Linked DNA regions of Drosophila melanogaster. The protein of the gene in region 1 interacts with the protein of each later gene in a pairwise test. Each region holds a gene or a part of one and is shown on either strand. Other genes may lie near its edges.

What was found. The genes of interacting proteins can lie anywhere in the genome.
Region 2: the proteins of lolal (region 1) and CG15812 interact in a two-hybrid assay, tested with the Drosophila melanogaster proteins (one large-scale study listed by BioGRID).
Region 3: the proteins of lolal (region 1) and CG6891 interact in a two-hybrid assay, tested with the Drosophila melanogaster proteins (one large-scale study listed by BioGRID).

What each region holds. Positions count from the first base shown.
Region 1 is NT_033778.4:18,153,556-18,159,774, reverse strand, and holds lolal (lola like), read left to right. Parts: upstream 1-1,756; 5' UTR 1,757-1,833; exon of another isoform or gene 1,834-2,015; intron 2,016-2,882; exon of another isoform or gene 2,883-3,028; intron 3,029-3,395; exon of another isoform or gene 3,396-3,609; 5' UTR 3,610-3,781; coding exon 3,782-3,883; intron 3,884-4,283; coding exon 4,284-4,370; intron 4,371-4,432; coding exon 4,433-4,627; 3' UTR 4,628-5,680; downstream 5,681-6,219. Other genes in the region: CG10914 (uncharacterized protein), read right to left, coding at 1-1,479; adp (adipose), read right to left, coding at 5,929-6,219. UniProt on the Drosophila melanogaster protein: Required, together with Trl, for maintaining the repressed state of target genes including homeotic genes Scr and Ubx. May also be involved in the activation of homeotic genes. Binds to a DNA Polycomb response element (PRE) at the bithorax complex.
Region 2 is NT_037436.4:3,158,140-3,162,562, reverse strand, and holds CG15812 (uncharacterized protein), read right to left. Parts: upstream 2,573-4,423; 5' UTR 2,467-2,572; coding exon 2,464-2,466; intron 2,457-2,463; exon of another isoform or gene 2,393-2,456; coding exon 839-2,392; 3' UTR 544-838; downstream 1-543. Other genes in the region: rasp, read right to left, coding at 1-364; ND-30 (NADH dehydrogenase (ubiquinone) 30 kDa subunit), read left to right, coding at 3,091-3,154, 3,215-3,289, 3,348-4,006.
Region 3 is NC_004354.4:18,773,303-18,781,270, reverse strand, and holds the start of CG6891 (uncharacterized protein), read right to left. Parts: upstream 6,044-7,968; 5' UTR 5,693-6,043; coding exon 5,642-5,692; intron 4,774-5,641; exon of another isoform or gene 4,416-4,773; intron 1,639-4,415; exon of another isoform or gene 1,426-1,638; intron 591-1,425; coding exon 267-590; intron 194-266; coding exon 77-193; 3' UTR 1-76. Other genes in the region: CCKLR-17D3 (Cholecystokinin-like receptor at 17D3), read left to right, coding at 7,486-7,968.

The DNA of each region.
Region 1 (6,219 bases):
AAGATGCTCTGAGGCAAATACAAACACCTTCAGCCAGTCAAAGTGTTTCCTTGGGCTTGTTATTTCCAGCAGATCCAATCTGGCCAAACCGCCCAGTAGTATGCTCATCTGGGGCCGCAGCCGAAAGGCGCGCGGTCGGATCATGGTGGCGGGCTGCAGCTTTACCAGCTCCTCGGCGGTGAGCAGGGGAGATATTTGGTCGGGTTGCATCACACCCGGTGTGTCGTAGACCCAACGCGCTTCCTTGTACTCCTTGCCCCGATCGTTTAGCGTTGTAATCGGTCGCGAGCCACCGGCCATGGCAAAGGCATCATGGAGATTTTCGCGTCGATCGAAGGTGCGTCCAACCGGAGCCACTGGTTGAGCAGCTGCCGCTGAACCCGTTTCCCTTGCCACTGCGCGACGCTCCTTTTCCATTTCCGCCTTCTCGCTGCGCTCCGAAACCAATCTCTTAAAGCGCTGATAGACTCGATCGTTCGATGGACGCAAGATTGGAAACCGCAGCAGTTTGAGTGTGGTGCCCGGCCACGGACAGGTGGTGGCCTTGCGCACCAGGTCACTGGCCTCCGGCCGGCAGTAGTCCGAGTTAAGCAGAATGTTGAACAGCGAGCTCTTGCCCACATTGGTGCAGCCCACCAGATAGACATCGCCTTTGTAGGCCCACGTTTTGTGCAGCTGCGTTATTAGCTCCTCGATGCCATAGCCCGTTTTGGCGGATATCAAACTGACATTCTTGATATTTAGACCATTTCCACCGCCATGCTTGATGAACTCGCGCTGCAGAGAATCCTTAATATGCTGAAGATAGATGTTGGAGTCGCGCGGCAGCAGATCGACCTTGTTGCCCACCAGGAAGACGGGTCGCTTTGCGCCCAATATGTTTTGCATGCCCGGCCAAATGGAGCAGGGAAAATCGAGAAGGTCCACCAGAACAATAGCCAGTGCAAATTTGTCTTGAATGCGGGATATGGTGTCCACATAGGTCGATGGGGCCACCACCACATCCAATGCGATGTTGTAGTGGTTCAGAAAGTGACAACGCTTGCAGGTGATCGTTTGCAGTTCCTGCTGCGTCCTATCCCTGAATATTTCACTTGGTATATAGCCTGGCAGGGAGGCATTCGTGCAATGAAGGTCTGCGCCGCAGCCGTTGCATGGAACCTTTGAGGCGGGTAACGAAGGATCCGGTGTGCCCTGCTTATTCCCTCCCTCCTGGGCGCCCTGATAGAACTCGTAGTCGTCCATCCAGTCGTCGGGCAAATGCTGTTGTGTCTCAGGAATCGAGAAAGAGGGTTTTATTTTGGTCTCCAGAACAGAGCTGTAATGAACGTGCTCATGATCCTTGTACCGCTCTCTGGCGAGCAGCCACGCCCTCTGCCGAAAGCTCTGTCCCACTTCAGCGGCGGTATTCTGCCGCCTCGAACATGTGATAACCACATTTTTATTTATAATTTTATATAAACGTGTGGTTTTAAACATTTTGCAATGCCCACAAGAATTCTCACAGTGTCAGACTAAAGCCGTTTGCTACGAAACCATTTACATAGTCAGGGCTGCTAGCCGATAGATCTGAACGATTGTTATATTATTTGGCGTACAAAATAACAAGCATCAATTCAAGCAATGCTTTTTGTGTTATAAATCGAATAAAAGATATTTCAGTACATTAATTTGTGTTCATTAACTGGAAAAAAACAAAACGCATCGAAATTAGGCCGATTCATATCGAACAATCACGAGTGTATCGAAAATCGAAATCGGTGAAAGAGAAAAAAGAAAGCAGCGTTAGCGAGAAAGCAGAGGTGAGTTAAGTGCGGGACAAAAAAAAAGCGTGTATGTATTAAAATTGAAACAAAAAGATATAGAAAAAGCGTGTCCACGGCGCAATTAGCGTGCTCCTGCGGCGGTCGGCAGGCGATATACGCATTGGTAAAAGTACAGAGTACACGCCGAGTAAAAAGCAGCAGCGCACAACAAATAAAATGATTAGGAAAGTGTGTGGAAAAAAGACAAGTGTATGTGAACGGCGATTGTATGTGTGCGTGACGTGACTGTATGCGTGCTGCTGCTGCGTGTATATGAAATAAAAAGTAACGCGAAGCGCGACCTAATTTTAACCAAATATTACAATAATATTTGCATAAACAAAGGCGGCTCGGTTAATGTGACGCCAGGCATTTTGGTGGTTCCTGCGGCTTTCCACGAACGTTTGCCGACGCCATTGTCTGACCAAAAACAAAAGAAAAGAATTGAAATAGAATAAATCTCAGACGAGCACACTATTCCGTCGAGTGTAGAGTTCTTCCCGATTGAGTAATGCAATAACAACAAACGGAGCTGCTCAAATTGTTGAGAGTGTTGCAACTTTCGTTGGAACTCGTTTTGAACCGTTGTTGTTGTTGTTGTTGTTGATTTTGTCGCTCGCATCGCTCACTCACTTACTCACCGACTCACTCGCTCCTTTCCATTCTCCTGATGTTACCAAAACTGGTCTTCAAGAAGCAACAATGCAGTTTCTTGACGGGGAAGGGGAAAAATCAATAGTTCGGAAATTAGACAACTTTCAACATCCATGATTCAACGAAATGCACTCAGCCTAGAAGAAGCTACCGATAACCCCGGGCGCAAGAGCAAGCGAGATAGTTGCCGCCGCCTACCCACACTCGCACACAGCCACACACTTACACTTATGCAGCTGAATTTCCAGCGATGTCTGCTCTGCCTTTTAAGTTGTTGTTGTTGTAATGTAATTGCGAAATCATAACGGCAGTTGAAAGTTGAGAGCGCTTAGCGAAAGAGAACGAGGGACACAGAGAGCGTGAGACTAAAGTTTAAGCTCTGGCGGCAAACTATATGCCCTGCTCTCCCCCGCCCACGCAGAAACATACAGCCGGCTGCCAGTGTAGCGCATATGAGAGTCGCATCAACAACAACGCTATTTCCTCAAGAAGAAAAACACATGTTGGCCGCACAGTGGGATGGAGTGGGAGTGAAATTAAGACAAAGTCACTGAATGGAAGTGCGAATGGTGCCGCCATCTTGGTTCTTTTTTGGTCAAAAATCACGGAATGAATGCTATTTAACTGGAGTGCGCCTAAAAATACATTGCCATCGGCAGCTGCAGCGTGCATCGCGTGCAACAGACTAATTCCGCGTTCTAAGCCACTGTGCCGCATACGAATTCAAATAAGCAATAAGTACACATGTGTGTACGACTGAAAATGCAGAAATTGCCTTGAAAAGTGAAAGGCATTCAACAGAGCGAGCCAGCGACGATTTGATATTTTTGCCTCTTTGCTTAACCTTTGCTGGCAGCTGTTTGCTGTTTTTATTTAGCGCTGTCTCAGCACTTTGACATTTTCCAGCTCACTCACACATGTACAGAGTAACAACGCTGTGCATTCCGAACTCCCATTTCCCACTGCACAAACGCTGCACATGCGCCGCAGCACATTTATATTTGCAGAATACTTTTGGCCAAGAGACGTGCTGTTTTGCAATGCTCTCGTAACGTTCACTGCTAATTTCGCCAAGCTGTTGTTTGTTTGTCTTACTCTGCCTTGCCGTTACCGTTCGTTCACTAATGCTGTCTGTTTACTTCTCTTGCAGAGTGCGTCAAAGAAAACCCAAGCGAAAACCCACGGATTAAGCGGTCCGCTGCGAATTAAGACCATCTAACGGTGAACCTTTCGGTCACTAGTCCAAATTAAGCCTCCTGCCCACCCCCCTCCCAGCATTCTGTTCAGCGAGCGCGACGCCCCCACAAAACAAAAGCTTCTTCATGATGTCGTCGGATCAACAGTTCTTTCTAAAATGGAACGATTTTCAAACGAATATGGTGACCTCGTTCCGTCACCTGCGCGACGAGAAGAGCTTCACAGATGTGAGTAACCAAATGAAACTTTCCAGAAGCGGCGATGGAAAAACTATTGCAGTCGAACTATTAGTTAGAATGATGATATTAGATGTCAATATATTTTGAAGTTACTTATAAATTCAGTCAAAATCAAGCCATAGAAGTTCGACTGTAGTTAACCAGTCCCAGGGGCGCGCTGAGGTTTATTATGCTACTCTTGGCCCGATTGGCTCGCGGCCGCCCCTTGTGGAGGGTCAGTCACCGGCTGAGCTCAGTTGGTCTGAGTAGCAGATACCTGGCCCTCACGCTATTTTCAATTCGTTTTTCTTTTACCTGTGTTCGTTCTTCGCTCTGCGTTTTTGTTCAATTTGTTGCGGTGAAAATGCCTGGCGGATCTTACTGATTTCCCAATGCTTATTGTTCACAGGTAACACTCGCCTGCGAGGGCCAAACCTGCAAAGCCCACAAAATGGTGCTTTCCGCTTGCAGTCCCTACTTTAAAGCGCTACTGGAGGTGAGTTTTTCACGCGGTAATAACTAAGCAATCGTTTGATAATGTAATGTATGCACCCGCAGGAGAACCCATCGAAGCATCCGATCATTATCCTGAAAGATGTCTCCTACATTCACCTACAGGCTATACTGGAGTTCATGTACGCCGGTGAGGTGAACGTGTCCCAGGAACAATTGCCAGCATTTCTTAAGACCGCCGATCGCCTCAAAGTGAAAGGCCTCGCAGAGACACCCAGTTCGATAAAGCGGGAAGGTTGATGGTATTAAACAATAATCGAAACAAAAAATACATAATAAATAACAACAACCAACTATAAGAAACTTATATGTACGCAAGAAAACAAAATTCCAACCAGCGGCAAAAGAAACAACATTACGAGAACGACATTTGGTATACAAATTCATATAAGAGTGCACGAGGAGGATGAAGAACGCCAACAAATGACCACACAAAGCTAAAGCTGGACAGATTGAAATGATTAGCCTGTAAAGTAGAGGTGGAGGCCAAATCCGCCCGCCCACTCCCACACCCGCTCATTCACATCTGATCAACCAAATTGCAAAAAAAAAAAAAACAACACTTACCGACAACCCCACAGAACTCGATTTGAATTCTTTTTGTTTAATTTCTGCATAAAATAGTTTGTAATATATTATTAACAATACAAACCACTCTGTATAAATAAAACGATATGGACAGCAGCCCCTAAAGCAAAACAAAACATAACGAAACGAAACAAAACAAAAAACGCACTTTTGTAAAGTAATTAAAGAAGATCCATTTAAAATATATAAAGATAATTATAAATATAGTGTGAAATGTGCAAGTAGATGGAAAAAGCCACGACGGGCGCGAATATTACAACACATTCGGTTAGTTTTTAAGCCACTAACTACAACCCCAGACATGCCACGCCTCCAGACAGACAAACTCATTTTCATCTATATTTAAACAATAAAATAGAAACAAATGCAAAATTGTACTTCAATTAATTGTGTGTGGACAAGCGCGTTTTTCCCCAACTTCTGATCATACGCGAGATACATACATATATTGTATTAATAACAAAACGAAGAAAAGGTGTTTCAGTGCGAAGCTAGCAGTTCTACACAGTTTAAACAAAAGAGTAAGGAAATACGTTAGAATGAAAAATACAACTTGAGTAAAAACTATACTTGAATATTATTACATAAAGTAAAATATTTATATGTATGTATATGTATACATGTGAGCATAGATTTAAAGAAACTACGGTAAATAAACAGAATAATTAAAACAAAAAAAAAAAAAAAACAAATGCAAATCATCCTGAGCTTTTCATTAAATTACGATTCGAAAACCGGTCGATTTGCATGTCTGCATTTATTTTAATAGTCTTTCATAACATCCTTCATAAGCTTCGTACTTTGTATACAGAGTAATTCGTTTACAAATTAACAAAAATATGTTCGCTTAGCTTAAATTACACTAATATTTGATATATTGCCGATTGGATCTCGCTTGCTGTTGCACATGCATGCAGCCAATATAGATCAAGATGCACAATAAGCCACAGTTCCTAATTATTGAAACAGTACGCATTGCGCGTGTGCAGTTCGAATGGATCGAGGCGCATCTTCTCCTGGTTATCCTCAACGAAACGCGTCACATCCGCCACGAGATTGGGTCGCTCCTCGGCGCTGGCGGCGCACGGCGACCAGATCTTAATGTTATGGTCAATGCCACTGGTGGCCAGCATGCAGATGCTCGGATGCGGCTGCACGCAATTCACGATGGCACTGTCCGCCCGATAAACGGCGCGTATCTTGCCCGTGTCTCCCTCCCAAATGTACATGTTGCCGTCATCCGA
Region 2 (4,423 bases), on another chromosome or scaffold:
TCGATGACCAGTCCAGGTTTACACTAAGAGCCAAGGCACAGACGCCGATGAATCCCAGACACTGAAGGCGGGGACGTTTCCAGCGTATGAATCCTTGGACAGCCACGTGCAGCAAGTAAAAGGGCCAAAAGCTGACGATAAAGTCTCCAAAGTTCTCCAGCTCATCGTTGCTGTCATCCCGACGCCGCTGGGAAAAAGGATACAAACTCCAGCCCTCCGGAAACTGGAACTTTGCCTCCTTGACTATGTGATCCCGCAGCCCATAGATCTTGTACAGGCCCACAACTATATACGCTATATAGACCCCGAAGTAGACGAAAATTTCGCAGCGGGTGAGCAGGGATCGGTCTGGTAACCTTGACATCACTACACCACCGATTTGGACTCTTCATTCCGGGAAAAGATTGCGATAGGGATGTGAAAAACCAGCGAAAATATCGATATTTTTATACCCTTGCTGGAGAAGAGTACCGGCATTTTAATTACATGCATGTACATATTTCTCTCATGTTATAAATTTGACCCATTTAAAAAGAAGTTTTTGTTAATTTTTGGTTGTATTTAATTAACCAATTACGATGGAGTGAACAATAAAAGAGCAGCAGTTAAAATGGTAATGGTATCTACATATAGAACTAAGTCTACAAAACTACCTCTAGAATAGCATCTCTTGCTGCTCTTCCGGACTCAATTTTGGTTTCATCAGGAGATAGGATATGGTTGATGTACATACACTGATGGGACAACATGAAGTTAAACCCTATGCTTATGGCTTCTTAATGGTAACTTATTGATTCCAGCTGAACGTTTGTAAAACCAGAACTCCGAAGGCTTATTTCTAGTTTAGCATATCGTCTCCGTAATTGGCCTTCAATTCCTTCTTGACCTTTTTATTCTGGCTCGTCGTGCGTCGCTGCAGGTGTCTCCAGAGCGTGCTCTTGGGGATCTCGAAGAGGTTGGCCGCGTGGTTTTGGGACATTCCCTCATTCAGGCAGGCATGCACCGCCTTGGCTAATTTGTCGCGCAGCTCATCCTTGGGCGTATTGTCGCGCTTTCGGCAGGACACGAAGTTGGGCAGGCGTCCCTGGGCGGACAGACGAACCTTGTGTCTGTGCAACGTGGACATGGGGATTTGCAACTCACTGCTGATGCTCTTTAAAGAATGTCCATTCTTCAGTCGCTCGTAGGCCTCTTGCAGGGATGGTCGTTCCCGATTGTTTCGCATGTAGGCGGGATTAGTGCGCACGCGTCTCCAGAGGACTGTCTTGGAGATATCAAACCGGTCGGCGGCCTTTTGTAGGCTTAAGCCCTCGATGATAACCGCGTCGGCCGCCAGATCCAAAGCATCGTTGATATCGTCTTTTACCTCACGTTTCAGAGCTGCGAACTGCTGGATTCGCGTTGGCTTGCAATCGGACAATCGTTTGACAGCCTTCGCACTTATGGGGCGACGGATTCGCGTCTTTCCCCCGCCCAACTTGCGGGGCTTATCGTCTATTTCCTCGTCCACAAGTTGGTCGTGCACGTCGTCATCGTCGTCCATTTCAGTACCAGCTTCTAGTTCCATAAGAGGATCGGCTTGCGCGAACTCCTCGTCGATCATTTGTGATTCGTGCTCCTCAGAATCCTCAGCAAGGTCCGCATCCACGTCATCATCGCCCAGGTCCACTTCAGCGCCACTGGTACCCGTTTCATCTGCCTCAATTTTGGACAAACTCGATGCTGACTGCGTTATGGTGAAAGTGCCCGTGTTCTCGGTGAGTATAAATTGGTTGCCGCTGGAACTTCCGTCCATGTGCTCGATGGAGTAGGTGATCTTCGGCGGCTCGTAGACATCAATGTACTCCAATGACCGACTGGAATGGCTGGGCTGGTGTTGAGAACCCGCGAGTGTAGTGGCTGGGACGGAGACCATCGGATGTGGCTCTTCCTCGTCGTCCAGCAGCTCGGCCTCAGCGATTTGGAGTCCTGTAATGGACTTGGCCGACTCCACGGCTAACGAATGGTTCTCTACATCGACACTGGGTGGACTAGCCGATGGATTGCACTCAAAGCTGATGGCAGATTTGATGCCGAGGAGGTTAATGGCCTCCAGGAACTCGGGGAGCGACGCGGAGGGCAGGCTAGTCTCGCCCATGTAAATGAAGGACAGCATGCACTCCAGCAAATCTCCGCGGATGTCGGGCAGCATTATGGTTGCCTCCTGGCCGCGCGGAACGTCCACCAGGAGGTTGCGCATCAGTTCGCTGCAAGTGCTTAGCACGAATAGATGGGCGCGCACTCGAACGCCGTCCCTGGAGGCCAGCACCACCTCGCAGTGCTGATTATCATTACGCAGCGAGCGCTGGATGTCCATTATCGTGGATGAGTGGCCCATCCACTTAAGATGATTCTGCAAACGGCGACGATTGTAGATTTAAATTTCACTTATCCCGGGGATTTGGGAGGACGCGTTTCACTTACCATCTTGTTGTGTTTTGATTTCCAATTGATTTCCAAGAAGTTTTCAATTCTCGCAATTCCAAACGCAACGCGTTGTCACAGTTTTCAGCCAGGGTAGTCGAATGCACCTAAGATCTCGGTATTTCGGTATGTTTTCCATGAGATGTACTTCAAGGAACGTGTTGGTATTTTTAATGAAATAATAAATGAAGTAGTAGGGTACATTTCTTTTTTTTAAAAATCATTTAACCAAATATTCTAGAAAAGTTTTGTGGTTGGTAATGAAGAATAATTGTAAATGTTTTCCATCTGCTGTACTTCAAGGAACGTGTTGGTATTTTTAATTAAATAATAAATCAAGTAGTAGGGTATATTTATTTTTTATATAAATCATTTAAGCAAATATTCCAAAAAAATGTTGAGGTTTTTAATGAAGAATAATTCGGTGTTAACGTACACGAAATACAATAATGTATGTGCGGTATTTGTGTTGTACCGAAATTGTCAAAATACCGAAGTAGGGCTGTCGAGTAGATTAATTTGGCGCACTGACAACCCTAGGCTCCAACAACTATATTGACATTTTAGCATTACATAAATTGTCAAAAACGGAGCAAATTGTTGAATTTATATTGAACAGTTTGTAGAATGGCGGCCTTAATCAGGAATCTGGGTGCCCGTGCCGCAGTCGCCGCTCTGTCGGCCAAACATGGTTGGTAAATGCCTTGCCTCTAGAGCTTCAACTGATCTATTCTAACCCTTCAACAATCAGTGGTGCCCGCTGCTGGATCCACTGCTCTTCGGATGGCCAGTACAACGCCAGTGGAGCCTAAGAAGGCGGATAAGCGTAGGTAAAAGTCGACTTTATCGCGGTGTCAATTACATGTAAGACATTCCACCCACAGCCACTGTCCGCCAGCCGGACGCAGTCGCTCGCTCGCATCTCTCCGATTTCGGGCGCTATGTGGCCGAGTGCCTGCCCAAGTACGTGCAGAAGGTGCAGCTGACCGCCGGCGATGAGCTGGAGGTGCTTATTGCGCCAGAGGGCGTGGTGCCCGTGCTGCAGTTCCTTAAGGATCATCATCAGGCGCAGTTTACCAACCTGGTTGACATTGCCGGCGTGGATGTGCCCTGTCGCAAGAACCGATTCGAGGTGGTCTACAATTTGCTCTCGCTGCGCTACAATTCGCGCATCCGCGTTAAGACCTACACCGATGAGCTGACTCCTCTGGACTCCGCCTGCGAGGTGCATAAGGCGGCCAACTGGTACGAACGTGAGATCTGGGACATGTACGGCGTGTTCTTTGCCAACCATCCCGACTTGCGCCGCATCCTGACCGATTACGGTTTTGAGGGACATCCCCAGCGCCGCGACTTCCCGCTGTCCGGCTACGTAGAGCTGCGCTACGATGATGAGAAGAAGCGAGTCGTCTGCGAGCCCTTGGAGTTGGCCCAGGAGTTCAGGAAGTTTGACTTGTCGGCGCCTTGGGAACAGTTCCCCAACTTCCGCAACGCTAATCCCCCCGCCGAGGTAGTTCCGCCACAGGCTCCAGCCAAGAAGTAATCCGAAGTCGGTTTGTTAAATGGTAATTAGATCAATAAAACGTGATCACTATGAGATGTTTAAACATAATGGAAACGACGGTCTACTTAGCTATTTAGCTTTCTTGGCTCGTTCCTAAACTACTTCCACATGAAAACGCAATTCGTATCAAACCAGAGGGTCACAAGTATTTATTGATTTCCGTATTGTTTACATACATGGTAGTTTACACTGAGAATTAAACGAATTCGCCGGATCTAGCACATCCGAAAACCTCCTCGAGGGCCATGTGCATATACGTACATACATACATAGATATAAAACGTTAAGTAAAACAAGTGTGGGCCACTAGACAATTCGTGCGCCTGCGCAGCGGTGCCCGGCGAAAGTACAGGTGCAAGGACGTACTTAAGTTTAGGCCGGAGCGGATTGGGGTAG
Region 3 (7,968 bases), on another chromosome or scaffold:
AAAGAGAAAGGAGCAGTTTGGTAAGCAGTTAAGAGTTGCAAAAAAAAATGTATATGTAAAGTAACTTGGAGGCCGCTTAGTTATCCCGGATGCCCGTTCCGTAGTTGGCGCCGCCGGCACGGTTCAGTGCTTCACGGAAGAGCTCAATGTCCAGCTCGGCCTCCACTCCCGCCTGAAGTTCCACGGCAAAATTCTGCAAGAGATTAGAGATGAGAGGATCTATTTCTGCCTCTGGGCTCTGGCATCTCTAGCTATTGGCTACTCACGTTGAGGACATCCTTGATCAGCGCCTTGTCCGTGGACATCTTGGCCCTCTGGATGACGCCCACCTCCTGCCCGATCCACGTCAGGAAGATGAACTTTTTGCGCTTGGACATCTCGTCACCCATCTGGATGCGTATGTAGCCAAAGGCGCGCTCCGAGTCGCCGAACTGCTGTCGGAATTCCTCAAAGCACTGACCGCGCGCATGTACAATAATCTGGGCGCCATCGAACTTGAATACCGCCCACTCGGTGTCTGTCAGATCGGAGCGTACATCCTCGTAGGCCTCGCGAATCGAGTCCTTCTCCAGCGACGTGGCCAGCGGCATCTGCGAAAGAGCAAGGGGGAAGAGGATTATAAGCAAGCGAAGAGGGGAACTATAAGCAACTTTCAGACGGAAGTATATATCTTAATCATGTATTCCAAGTCCGAATCGTTTCGCCAAGGCGAATGGATCATCCGCTTTGGCCCATCGATAGCGAAATGTATTGTATGTACTCAATGCGGGGCCAAGTACTCTTGACGGCGCCATCTATGAGTCAGATTTAAGCGGTGCTTTCGCTTTCGATGGTTATATTACATTCAATTCGACTTGTTTCCGTGTCAGGCAACCTCAAGTCGGCCAGGGGAATAGGCACGCCATTGCATCGCCCACTTGCATTACGTTCGGGCAGATTCACGGAAAGCAATTTGTTGCCGCTTTAGTGCTTTATAAACATAATACCAGCGGGCCAGCGGAAAAGTAGCCAATGTAAATATGTACATATTTCGAAGAAAAAATAAAGGCTTTATTATGATAACATACTGGAACATACCCGCATATTAAATTACAGCATTTTTGATAATGATATCAGCACACACATATGAGGGTTCAGGGTTCTGGTTCAAAGCCCAAAAATATGATGATTTAAAAATATCGATATGTAAATGAATTTAAATTGCTTGATAAGTTCGAATGGCTTGATAGTGAAATGTAAAAAACCAAGTCTCAATACGATTTTGGTTAGCTAAAGATTAATTTTAATTGTGGTTTATTAAGTGATCTTTGGGGTAGCATTATGTGCACAAAGTTAGGCTCAGCTTAGATGCGTGGAAAGCGTGTAAAGCGATTGGATCGATGGTTTTTGATACGAGTATACTTGTAGTACGGATCGGAAAACTACCCTTTCACGTAGTGCACTCTTATTGTCTTAAGCGGATCGCCGCATTAAAATCAATTTACGCGTGACAATTTTCAATCAGCAGCCGGCGGAAAGCAGGTCAGAGATTTGATAAGTGACTTGGGGTCGTCGGAACGGGATGACAACAAACAAAGAGAGCCAAATGACTGTTGGTCCAACTGCCAGCCAAATGGATCGGGCTTGGAGTCAGGAACTAGACTCGCGTATAAATAGACATTGAAGCTGGGCCAGAGATACGGATACAGATACAGCTAAAGGTACAAATACAGATACAGATACAGATACCGATGGGAAGATGGAGATAGAGATCGCTCTATAATGCGTTCAATGACCGGAGAGTACGGCGTCTGGTGAGAAAAATCAATTAGAAAAGCGACGACTGTCGAAAATATCAAAAGCCAAACAATTAAACCCAAAGATGTTTCGGGCGACGACTTTCACAACGCGACGCAGTAAGAACTTGGAGTTTGTATGTGTATTCTATGCGTCGCATAGAACTATGGAACAGCTCTGAATCTCCCGTTTCGTGGCTCTGAATTAATTAGTCGGAAGGCAGGCAAAAAAAAAAAAAAAATGAACAAGATGCGGACGCAAACTGTGCCAAAAATGAGCGGACGACTAAGAAACCGTTGCAGCGAATGACCCACCGAAAATACCCGACAAATTTTCCCCCAAACAAGCAAGATAGCAGATACAAATGTATATAGAAATGTCGGTGCTCCTCCTGCAACCTCCACGGGTACGTGAGCCAAATTGTTGGCTAAAATTAGCTGAAATTAAGTTTCCAGCCGATAAGCCCGATAACGTTCGCACATATGTATCTATATACATATATATGCCTATATGGCCATATCTCCACTTCTGACACAATGACAACACGACAAATTAGATCACTCCAGTTGGGCTGGGAGTGCACCCAAAGATCGGATAGGATAGGCTCGGATAGCCCCACCTCCGGAATTGACGCAATGCCATCTATTTGCTCTGATAAGAAAACTGTCGCAAAACTAAAGGAACTGTAATTGATTTATTACCGAAAGTTCTTGGGATCGCCCGGGCAATTAGTGCCGGTTAAATCTGTAGGGCTCGCCTGTTCCAATTTTACACGCCATAAAAATTCAGCAGAGATTGACGCTTAGTCATAGGAATCGAGATATTGCGCTGGCTTCAGGAAATATATCGAAAAAAGGGAAACTACAATAGTTTCAAGGAAAGTCAGAGTGCGTCATCCTCGAAAGATTCGCATAGAAAAGCGAGCGACAGTAGCCAGTCCATAATTGATACGGTTAATCGTGATTCGTGATTCTCGATGGAAAACAGTGAGCAACAGTCTGATAAGTAACCTTGTAGCGATGACAGGAAATGTATATGCATACATATTTTCAGTTTCACTTGGAACCACCAATAATCCTAACAGATCCATTGAGTTAGCCACCTTTCCAGCAGGAAAGCCATCTGCCAAACAATTCGCGCTACTCAAATGGCTTGCGGCCATATCCGATAGATAGATGTACATATGTATTATATCTATCTATATATGTGGATTCGTACGTAATGAGCCATATATGCCCATGTGTGCATTCATACAGCACGCTGCATTGCCAGCTAGATATATGTAGCTATAGTATCTATAGCTATATCCATCGATATCTGGCAATGAGCGGGCCGGCGATGCATCAAACGCGGCTATAACTGCAGCTAAACGTAACCAAGCATAATACAGCAAATAACAATTTGCTAACGAAAACGAAACCGAATCCCCAGCGCCAGGTGCTTGAAACTGACTTGCTGCGTAACTCAACGCTGATACCCTTGTGAAAGGTATCGCAGTTGTAGAAATTCTTGGGATACCTTTAAAATAAACATCTATGAGAACGTATTGTATGTAAATAATCCTGTCCTTAAGTAAACAGCAAGCTATCGAGAACTACAGAGTGAATGGTATTATATCCGTATCTTTTATCATTCGATGCCTGGTATACACCACTGACATTATTTCAAGTTAACTCTGTTTGTATAGTTTATATATCTAATTGTATGGTATATATAGATCGTGAGCTCATAAAGCAAATACTGAAGTATGAACAATAAAAGTTAGAGTATTCACTTTCGATTGCACTAAACATTTTGTATTTTATTCGCTTTTTCATTGTGTATGTACAAGTGGACCGAAAGTGTTTTATGTTGACTAATGAATTTCAGATAAGAAACGAAAAAAATTCCAAATAATACGATCGGGCATGAATAAAGGAAAATAAAGGAGAGGCGATGCAGATATATATATGACATACATGCACAGTGAAAACACAATATGCGGAATATTCGTGGGTCGATGCAACTGACTCATTGGCAAGGCAATTGGAAAATAACCAATAAATTGCAGCGAATCGGTTATTAACCGCTTCGCCTTGGCCAGACTAAGTCCAAAAAAAAAAAAAAAATAAATAAAACAAGCAAAAAAAATAATTGGCAATGTTGTGACAAATTGCCAGTTGCCGCAGCGCAGTCGCAATGACGTACTTGCTCCGGGTCTGGGACCGCCGATATGTCAATGTTCTTTTTCCCCCACTTTACTTTACTTTATTTCATTTCATTTTATTTCTTATTTTTATTCCGCTGCCGTCGATGTTTCATTCGCCACGCACACTAGCACAAACAGTGCAGGAAACAAAGGAGCAAACTGTTTTGTGGCTGCTCACGCCCCAGACGCCCGGAGTCGGGGGATCTGGGATGCCGGATGGGGTTGTGGATGGTCATTCTGATGGGTACGGGGTATCGGTATGGGGTACGGGTTGCGGGTTGCGGGAAACGAGGTTCCGAGTGCGTGATTCATGCCGCCTGAAGGTGACGACGACGACGACGACTCGGGGAGTGGATGACCAAAATTGGCGCGTCAGGAAGCGATTCCCGAGCATTGAAAGGGTGTGGAATGGCCGATATCCCCATCGATTCCATACACTTTTATTACTCACTTGTTTGCCTGCACTTGGAAACCTCGAAATTGTAATATTTATTGGCCTGCACAATCGTTTTGTTTGATGCCATAGAGATTAGGTTGGCGAACAAGTGCTGTGCACCAAAAGTCACATGAAACGCAGATCTTGCGATCAGCTGAACGAAGTACCCGCAAGATAATGGCACTGCAACCATTTACCCAGCTCCCAGTGCCCGCTAAATACCGTAATCTGGAAAGCTATACGTGTTTGCCAGGGCGACGGACTGCGCCGCATTAACCGCAGCGTCTTCGTTGGGTATCGATGGTGTCTCGAGATCCCAGCGAGCAAGTGCAGCAGCGGCAGCCGCACTGCAAACGCACTTGAACTTGATATGCATCGCTGCGAAGGCGTCGCATTCGGATTCAGTTTTTGGGTTCGGATTCGGATTCGGAGTCGCCCCCACAATCTGCATCCGCCCCCGCAATCGCATCCAGCCAAGATGATATTGCCCCTCGGTACTCAGTCCCTGTTCCTGCCCTGCCCTGCCCCTTTCCGCCCAGCCAGCCAGAGCCATAAAACCCAGCTGCCACCCCGCCTCCTGGACCTCTGGCCCTCTGGGGCCGGTTCTTGTGGAGCGGAGTCGCCGGCGAGCCAATGTCAGAGTTATTTACAGACACTCACGCATGCCCAGCGATATACACACACGCCGCATGGGCCTGGGCTTCAGCAACTCCAGTGTGTACACCGGAAGAAAACTGTATTTTGTATCCTTAAAGCCAATGTCCGAGTTCAATACCACTGTTGGTAATTGAATTTTTATATTATTGTATATTTCTACTAATCCCCAATATTTTTCAATATATATTTGAACAATTTAAAGTTCGAAAATCGATCATTATTCTCAAGAGAATATTATTTTTTTTTAGCATTCTTTAATTGTAGGTATTTATAATGTAGTGGTGATTAGAACTTTCTTCCATTTTAAGGTTGTGCCATCGGATTGGCTCAGCCTTAAAAGTGATCAGCATACTGAGTACCCGTTTTCTTTCGGTGCATTTATAAGATATCTCTCCGGCCTGCTCTCTGACTCTCTGGACTTCTGGCTGCCCCATCCAATCTTTTATAATTCTTAATTTTCGGTCGTCCCCTGCCGGTATACACACACATTTCATGGTCCCTGCCCGGAGCAGGACTACCGACTCCATCCATCTCCAACTCCAACTCGAACTCCATGTGTGCCCAACCCACTCCCCACTACTCACCCTTCTCGGCTTGCTCTCCACCAATTGCTCGACCTCGATGCCGTCCGACATGCTGGTGCGCTGTGTTCTGGATGTGGATGTAGATATGGTTTTCAATGCGCAGCTGGGATGCTGGTGCTCTTGGGAACAGCTTCCTGGGATCGCGGGTGAGTCTCGAAGGGGAACGGAGTGCTGGTCTGGCGGGAAGAGTTGACCGTTTGCAAGGTGACAAAGTGGCAGAGTGGCAGAGTGGCACAATGACAACGAAAACAAAAATACACAGCGCCAGAAAAACAACAAAAAAACACAATCCAAGCGCACAAAGAGCGATGGACAGAACCAGCACAGTTCCAGATATCCAGATATTAGAGCAGCCGCTGAACTTCGTCCGACCACCACGAGTTGTATCTCACGAATGCGGCGTTGCCGGCGTCTGCAACTCCGAATGAAGTGCCGACCGTCGACCGCCGAAGTCGGCGGCGCAGTCGCCGTGCGTGCGAGCGAGATGCACTGGCCAGAAGGCCCCACGGCAGCTGTTAGACAAACAGCAGGTGCGACAGAGACGGCTGCGTGGGGAGCAAGCGAGAGCGGGCGAACTGCGACGATGTCGCCGCATTTGGCTTTATTTTCATTTTCATTTTCAGTGCAGGCATTTCGGAAACACCAAAAAAAGCCAGATGTTGGCTAGTGTTTTATGCGTACACCGCGAGAAAATTTAGTCTGCTAGATGCTCCTATAATGATAATGAAGTTTGCATAAATACTTCGTGTTAGCCATCTTAACTGGCAATGGCCACAGGAAACCATAACATCGTGCGCAAATATATGTATAGTCAGATGGATAGAAAAACAACGACTGTACTCCTCCATCTAAACTATGTACGTCCTTAAGGATCAGCTGAATCCCTTGAAGAAGATCTCTTCCTCGATGGTGAAGAGGCTTACGAGAAGTGAATTCTATCTATTCTATCAAAACATGAATTTATTGGATTTATTGGGTTTCTTCGGCAACACGGATTCCTGGCATAGTCATATCCAGTATCCCAGTGGAGTCACGTCTTACCACTGCAGCTCCCGGTCATGTTATTTTCCTTCATCGAGGGCTATTCCATTCACTTCCTGCGCCGAAAAAACGAGCAACAATTGCAAGCGAAAAGGTAGTCTTTGAAATAGATGCTATAGGTGCTAATCGGAATCGCTATATATCCAAAACTATGTCTAGATCAGCACTGATCCCTGCCAGCTTGTCGGCTGGGAATGCGATCCGTGGAATTAGCGCAGAACATTTGTGCAAACACATAACGAGCCGAGATTGTATTCTCTGGCACTCAAGTGCCGTAGGAATGCGGCTGATTTGATGATTAGCGCGGTGCGTGGGCCGAACAGCAGCTGCTCCGCCGCTGCAGACGCCATGGATGATGCAGTGCACCGTATTAATTTGTCCCAATCGGCAGGGAACGTCCTCCGCGCAACATGGGAGTTGCCCGGCAACAGGGCTGCCTGGCAGCATGCTGCTAGCCACAAGTTGCCGTGGTGAGTTTGCGCCATTCGGCATCGCCCACGCAACATGTTGCGGCAGCTAGCCCAGCGGAGCGGAGGCGTCGTCCTCGTCCGCCAGTCGTCAGTTGCCCACGACGCGTTACCCGCAACGGTAGCAGGCGAGCCCTCTCCTGGCAGCCAAAGCCGCCAGCTCGTGTGCTCGGATACCCCCGAGTTCCATATCGCAATCTTTGCCAGCCTGCGCGCAAGCGTCGCCGTTTCAATAGCAATTGAGTGAAATTTTATTTTATTTTTTTCGGTGACCCGCAACGGGACATGTCAGGCGGTGGTGGCCAGTGATTGCCACGAATCACCCGGTCATCCGGGATGTTCAACTACGAGGAGGGGGATGCCGACCAGGCGGCCATGGCTGCAGCGGCTGCCTATAGGGCACTGCTCGACTACTATGCCAATGCGCCAAGTGCGGCGGGTCACATAGTGTCGCTCAACGTGGCACCCTACAATGGAACTGGAAACGGAGGCACTGTCTCCTTGGCGGGCAATGCGACAAGCAGCTATGGCGATGATGATAGGGATGGCTATATGGACACCGAGCCCAGTGACCTGGTCACCGAACTGGCCTTCTCCCTGGGCACCAGTTCAAGTCCAAGTCCCAGTTCCACACCCGCTTCCAGCTCCAGTACTTCCACTGGCATGCCCGTCTGGCTGATACCCAGCTATAGCATGATTCTGCTGTTCGCCGTGCTGGGCAACCTGCTGGTCATCTCGACGCTGGTGCAGAATCGCCGGATGCGTACCATAACCAACGTGTTCCTGCTCAACCTGGCCATATCGGACATGCTGCTGGGC